2 linked regions of the Danio rerio genome follow. The main gene of each other region encodes a partner of the protein of the gene in region 2 in a complex. Links are inferred from orthologs where the notes say so. Each region holds a gene or a part of one and is shown on either strand. Other genes may lie near its edges.

Evidence for each region.
Region 1: polr2eb (region 2) and asdurf share a complex: the UniProt entries of both Homo sapiens proteins name them as parts of the PAQosome complex. The link is inferred for Danio rerio from reciprocal best matches to the Homo sapiens genes POLR2E and ASDURF.

The regions. Positions count from the first base shown.
Region 1 is NC_133184.1:42,816,863-42,820,620, reverse strand, and holds the start of asdurf (ASNSD1 upstream open reading frame protein), read left to right. Parts: upstream 1-1,460; 5' UTR 1,461-1,535; coding exon 1,536-1,613; intron 1,614-1,735; coding exon 1,736-1,789; intron 1,790-3,214; coding exon 3,215-3,290; intron 3,291-3,412; coding exon 3,413-3,453; 3' UTR 3,454-3,465; coding exon of another isoform or gene 3,466-3,758. Other genes in the region: asnsd1 (asparagine synthetase domain-containing protein 1), read left to right, coding at 3,466-3,758.
Region 2 is NC_133197.1:17,299,446-17,303,203, forward strand, and holds the start of polr2eb (DNA-directed RNA polymerases I, II, and III subunit RPABC1), read left to right. Parts: upstream 1-1,124; 5' UTR 1,125-1,215; coding exon 1,216-1,272; intron 1,273-1,433; coding exon 1,434-1,608; intron 1,609-1,984; coding exon 1,985-2,100; intron 2,101-2,193; coding exon 2,194-2,274; intron 2,275-3,430; coding exon 3,431-3,489; intron 3,490-3,635; coding exon 3,636-3,714; intron 3,715-3,758. UniProt on the Homo sapiens protein: DNA-dependent RNA polymerase catalyzes the transcription of DNA into RNA using the four ribonucleoside triphosphates as substrates.

The DNA of each region.
Region 1 (3,758 bases), on a different chromosome or scaffold from region 2:
GGGGTGTCCACACTCAATCCCGGAGGGCCGCTTTCCTGCAGACTTTAGCTCCAACTCTAATCAAGCTCTTACTAGATATACTAGAAACTTCCCAGCAGGTGTGTTGGAGCTAAACTTAGCAGGACACTGGCCCTCCAGGACCAAGGTTGGACACCCCTGTGGTAGGGTCAGGACAGTCCTAAAGGGCTTACGCATATTGGGGGCCCCTAGAGATATGATTCGGGGTTCATGCACAACCCCCCACCCCTCTCTTCGCTTCACTTTAGAGCATTATTCCTATGTACAAAATTTAGGAGGGATACAGTGGCTCATTGGTTAGCACTGTTGCCTCACAGCAAGAAGGTCGCTGGTTCGAGTCTTGACTGGGTCAGTTGGCATTTTTGTGTGAAGTTTGCATGTTCTCCCATGTTGGTGTGGGTTTCCTTCTGGTGCTCCGGTTTCCCCCACAGTCCAAAGTCATGAAGTATAGGTGAAATAAATAAACTAAAATGTCTGTAGTGTATAAGTGTGAATGAGCGTGTATGGATGTTTCCCAGTACTGGGTTACAGCTGGAAGGGCACACGCTGTGTAAAACATATGCTGGATAGGTTAGTAGTTCATTCCGCTGTGGCGACCCCTGATGAATAAAGGAACTAAACTGAAAAGAAAATGAATGAATGAATGTCAAACTTGTTTTCTAAGGACCAGTGCAATTTGTTTTTACTTGCCCCATTACAATTCAAACACTTATTTATAAACAAAATAAGTTTATTTTAAGAAAGATAATTGAACCAAATTGGTAAAGAGTTTTAGAATATACAATTTAGTTAATTGTTTTTTTAGAATAATTGTTATTTGTACCGATTAAATAGCTTTACATGGACAAAAAAATTAACACCTGTTTAAAATTATTTAAGACCTGTAACACCCTTTTAAGTAAAGTTTTAAAAGGCCTAAAATGTTGTTTTTGAAATGTAAGACTTTTAAAGTCCCTGCGGACACCCTGAACAATTTTTCCATTAAGATGAGCATTATTTGTTCATCTTGAAAGTTAAATGCAAACAATCCTCTTTAGGATAGCTCTCAAATTACTGAGGATAAACCAAAATATTTGGATAAGATAATGTACGCCTAGAGCTATGATAGGCTTTGTTTATTACCATCTTATCGTACATTAGAAGAATGGCAAAATATGATATAAGATAATATGATAATATCAGGTTTAGATAGATGGGCTAGCCGCTGTTTCGCGATGAAAAGTCGTTAATATCCGGGTAAAAACTCTATTTGAAAGCATTCGACGTATTTGAACCGTATTTGACCACATTACTTAGATTCCCTGTTTCATTCAACAACGCGTCTTTGTTTAGATGCTGCAGATTTATCCACCCAACATTATTCTTTAACAGGCTTTGTTTATGGGGGATAATGGGGTTAGGATTACGTGACGCACTTTTAAAGCGTCGTTGGCGCATACGTCATTCTTGTGCGACGAACGAGTTACTTGCTCGTGGAGATGTTTCCCTAAAAATGATCTGAAGCGTATTAATAAACAATGTCCTCCAAGAACATACAGCGAACTGAGCCTGGGGCCTCAGAAGAGCGCGCACAAAAAGAGGAGCTGAACCAAAAGGTTGTCTATCATATATGTTTTTTGTAATTTATAGTATACAGTTGACACCAGTAAAACGCGTTAAGCATGTTTAGTAATTTCTGTTTTTTGATGATCCTAAAAACATAACTATTCATTCGCAGATAAAAGAGCAAAAGATTGTTGTGGACGAGTTAAGTAACTTGAAGAAAAACAGGGTATGTAACGTCATATCGTCTTGTCACTTTCTATATATTATCAAGAGTCATTCTGCATTTGGTGTAGCAGATGCTTTCACTTAATTATAGATGTAACAAAGTCAAACCACATCGCTATAGAAGGCAATATATACTAAAATGTTTTCTAGTGTAGCATACAATATAATATATGAACTTATGCTCCACTATACTAATTCGCAATAGATTATAAGTAGACTGTCAGGTGGGGTTGGTGTAAATTGACATGTACTTGCAAAGTTTCTTAGTCAGTGAAATGTTGAAAGCAGCAGTATCAGCAGATATTAAGCAGACAGTCTACTAATACCCAAATGAGAAGTAACTGGCATTTAGTTGCAGTACAACTTTAGTCAGAAAAATGTGCAACAGGGACCATCAAAATAAAGTCTTACCATGATATTAATTACATTCACATTTAAAAATATCAACTAAGAAGTTCCTTCGATGTTTAGAGATATTTTTCCAGTTAAATTTATGAAAGATAAAACGTAATTGTGAAACAGTTTATTTGACATCAATTAAAAGCAAAGTAGAATTTAAGCTTGACAAAATTATCAACTTATAAAGTACCTTAAATGTATCATCTGTTGCCATTTTCTAACCCATGGGGATTCAAATTGGATAATTCCTTTGAACTATTGAATTTATTATTTTAAGATAATTTACCTCAAAGTCAGTGTTCTTCTTATGGCAGACTTGTAAATGAAGCAAATAGGACTGAGTTTCATTTCTGGCCCATTTTTGTGGAGATTTTCTAGAGTACTTCTATAGCCAGTCCATGTGTATAGTGAAGTATCTTATAGTTATGCGTAGGTTTTTAAAATAGCTCTTATGTGCAGAGTTGTGTTTGTATTTATGATTAATTTATGTAGCACCGTTGTCCTGGGAGACTGCACATTTAGTTTCTCTGTATGTTCACACTAGGCATGGGCCGGTATAAATTTCTGACGGTATGATAACCTTGTATAAAAATACCACGGTATCACAGTATTGTGAAAGTGATTACTGCTCTCTCTTTTTTAAAATGTATGGGTAAAATAGAACAAACATTTATAATTTCCCCACTGAACACAAATTATTTATTTTAAGGAACATAATATTTTGGAACAGTAAACATGTCAGGCTAAATAGTTAAAATAAATCTTTGACTTCTGCTCTATTCGTTAGTTTGAAAAACGTAGATTTCTATACAACACATAAAAATATATAAAAAAACTTTTACATATAACTTGGGAACGGTATAACAGAACAATTTACTGGGATTAAAACCTTGAATTTTCCAAACCGCGGTAAACCTTGAAACCGGTTACCGTCCCATGCCGAGATCACACATGTAGTGGAATGACAATAAAGCTCAACTTGACTTGATATCATCACATTCCAGTAATACTAAGATTATATTCACAGAGAGTGTACACCCAGCAACCCAACAGCAATATATTCTTTCTGGCAGACAAAGGAGAAACCCTTAGCTCTTGTAAACGTAAGTGTTTCTGTTATACTTGAGTTGTTTCTGCTTTTTTGATAGATGATACATAAATACAATACTAATGCCACCATTTTGAGTGTGTTCTTCTAACATTGTCATAATATTCTGTTATACAGAGGACCTGGATAACATGCGGAAAGAATATCAAGATATATAGTGAAGTGATATCATGTGTGGGATCTGCTGTGTGGTCAGTTTGACCACACCACATGATCCACTGGAGGAGAATGTGCTTCAAAATCTCAAACACAGAGGACCCAATTGTAGCAAAGACATTACAAAAGAAATCTCAAACTGCAGTGTCCTATTCTCTGCACATGTACTTCATATGAGGGGTTGCCTGACCCCTCAACCTCTTCAAGATGACACTGGGAATATGCTTCTCTGGAATGGAGAGGTGTTTGGTGGTCTGAAATTAGAGCAGGAAGAAAATGACACCAAAGTTCTTCTTCATCAACTGTC
Region 2 (3,758 bases):
CCCAATTTGGATGGACGCATGTCATCACTCAATCGTCAAGGATTTTCGTAGGAAACACATACACTGATTCACAGTCATTGAACTACGTTTTACATTACATTCAGGACTTTGAAGTTTCATATATATAAATATATGTTGAAATTGGGACGTTTAGACAACTGAAACTGTATTTTCCTACTTCTGTATAGTTTTATTTTTTTTTCAAAAAGGGCTGAATTGCTGTCAACATATTGTATTTTATTTATTTAATTTTGTTTGTTTTGAATACATGAGTATGTTTTTATAAGGGCTGAAAAGCAGTTCAGATACAGACCAGAAAATTTGCAATACAGCAAACTCAAAAGTATTTTCTTGTGTTTGGGTTTTTTTATTTTTTTTTATTTGAGCAGTTGGAGATTATAGTATTAATAATATGTAAAATTTGACCACACCATTCAATAATATATTGTGTCGTTAAGTTGAGATATCCCGAACCCGAGATTTCAAGTAAATTGTGTTGAAATTTCATATATACTTTAGAAAGCTCAGACCCAGTAGATAATTTTCCCCTTTTCAGTAAATCAATTTCATAGGTGGGTTACAATAAGACAAAATTAATGATCGTTATCCTTTTGTAAACCCTTTTTCAAAACAATTTATTAATTGTTCTAATCGATTTTGTTAACTTTTGAACACAAGCAGACATAACGTTACAATAAATGTAATTGACGTAAATCTACTCAATCAAAATCCTCTGGAATAATTGCTAATGTATTTTTTTAACCCTGTAACATTTCCTAAAACGCTGGGGACGACGCTCTATGGTCAAAATGAATCACTGAATCGCCTTGACACCGGATATTTGAACTGTTCGATTGAATCTATATTCAAACGATTCAAACCCTACGCACTTCTCAAATGCTATACAACTCTCTTTCCTTCCTTGTTCGTTTACATAAAACAAAATCAGTATTTAAAGAAAGCAATAGCTGTGATATTGCTTAGAAGTTGTGATACTTCTAAGCAACGCGCACTGTTTTTTGTACGAAATAAAGCTGCGCATTGTTTTTTTTTTTTTTTTTTTTTTTAAAGCTGCGCATTGTATCTACGCTGTGGCGTAACGTCTGACGTCATTTACTCGCGCCAGCAACGGGAAACAAACGTGGAGAAGAAGCATCACATTAGCGGATTGTTTTGATCGTCAAAATTTGGTATTAATCATATTTATAGCGCAGTATGGATGACGAGGAAGAGACATACAGACTATGGAAAATTAGAAAAACTATAATGCAGGTAAAGAAAGACATATATGCTTTATTTATAACGTTTCGCACAGTTTAGTGATGCTTGTTCCGGTTTACTATTGAATGGATTTCATGTCTTTTATAAAACCATACACATTTAAATAACAGAAATAACATGATGTAATAACAATGTTGATATTTAACCAACAGCTTTGTCACGATCGCGGATATTTGGTGACGCAGGATGAATTGGACCAGACTCTTGATGAATTCAGGAGTCAGTTTGGAGATAAACCGAGCGAGGGTCGACCACGACGAAATGACCTGACAGTCCTGGTGGCCCACAATGACGACCCGACCGACCAGATGTTTGTGTTCTTCCCGGGTATGTTTTATTCCGCAGCAGCCCTATTTATTTAACTAGTCCGAGATAACAAGGAGTGGTTATTAGGTGAAGTTGGTTTTATATTCGGACAATCTCCTTAATAATATAATTTCAGAAAAGTATTCTATGCTAATTCTAAACAGGGAAATCATATTAGCAGCCAGCTACTATCAAATACATCACTGTTAATTAAATAGTCAAATAGGGCTAATGTTGTTTTAAAGTCATACTTCCATGCGATTGCAGACTGAATATTCAAAGCATCATGGTAAAAATGGACAAACGTGAAACCAGCTTTACCTCAGTGGAGTGGTTGATCAATTTTGTATTTACGTTAAAGAGTTTAAATATATTGAAACTTCAATTTTGCTTTCAGAGGAACCAAAGGTTGGCATCAAAACCATAAAGATGTATTGCCAGCGCATGCAGGAGGAAAACATCACCCGCGCCATCATTGTAGTACAGATGGGCATGACACCCTCCGCCAAACAGGTGCAACTCGCACATTTACTAATGTTTACAGTTCTAATGTCGAGCACTTTACAAGATAAATACGTTTTTTTATCTCTCTCTGTCACATTTCAGTCTCTGGTCGACATGGCACCAAAGTACATACTGGAGCAGTTTCTTCAGCAGGAGCTTCTAATCAACATTACAGAACACGAGGTGAGGAGACTTAAAGTTATAGCTCACCCAAAAAGTGAAAATTCTGTCATCATGTACTCACCCTTGTTCCAAAACTGTTTGAGTTTATTTCTTCTGTTGACAACAATGTTGGAAAGCAGCAGCCATTGACCTGCTGTAGTATTTTTGTTCCCGTTAAGGAAGTCAATGGCTGCACGGTTTTTAATTCACTGGTGGAAAAAAGCACCTTAATGTTGTATCACTTACTGTTAGTCCAAAATCACATTCGGAGAACTATTATATTTTTAGCTGATGAACAATAAAAAAATCCACAGCCAATCAGAATCTCCTAACTTAAAAAGCCAGTTTACACAGAAATAACTCTTCTGACATCATTTAATCTCCGTCCACTAGTTTCTAGCGTTGAAGTTTCTTTCTTCTTTTGAACACAATGGGCTATATGCACACAGACTTTTAATATGGTTTCCGGTGCCTTATATATATATATATATATATATATATATATATATATATATATATATATATATATATATATATATATATATATATATATATATATATATACACACACACACACATACATGATATAAAGTGCTATAAAGCGGTGTGTTAAATTATTTTACCTCAGTATTTTGAATGGAGTTTCTGCGCTAGCCTGCTGCCATTGACAGCGCTAGCAGTTACACAGTCTATTATCTCATTTTATGCTTGAACTACTAAATGAATGCTTAAGTTTATTTAAGGGATTGTATTTCAATTACATTACGATGTTGTAAAAGCAACCTTATAAATAGTCACAAAAACCTTTTACTGTTGGTTTAAAAACACTAGCTGTTCATATTGCCCATTGAAGAATGATCCATTGAATTCCACTGTATAATTTGGTTCTTTGTGAAGAAAATCTTGTTTCTCTTGATCAGAGATGCCCAAACTCAGTCTTAGATGGTTTAGATCCAACTTGCTTCTGCACTCATGCCTGGAAGTTTCTAGTAGAGCTAGTAAGAGCTCGATTAGCTGGTTCAGGGGTTGGAGCCAAACTCTGCAGTGCCGAGTTTGGGCACCTTTTTTTTTCTTGATAATTAATATATTCATCATTTTTGTTTTGAGCACTTTTTTAAGATGCTTAACACTTTTATCTAATTATCCTTTGCAATAACTATGGTTTCATGTATTTCAGCTTGTTCCAGAGCACATAGTTATGACAAAAGAAGAAGTGACTGAGTTGCTGGCGCGGTAGTATCCTTTCATGAAAGATGCTTAAGTTTACAGCAGTGTTATTTTCATATTTCTATGGTTTAGCTCAACTTTGTGTATTATATATGTTTAACTCCAGTTGGATAGTTCACAGTACATGTAGGTCACCTTAACCAGCGCTTCTCCAGTAAGCTAAAGGAAAGCCAACTTCCCAGAATTCAAGCTGGGGATCCCGTTGCACGTTACTTTGGCTTAAAAAGAGGCCAGGTAGGAAATCAGCCCAATTTTTAGCTCATTTTGATTGACCGCAA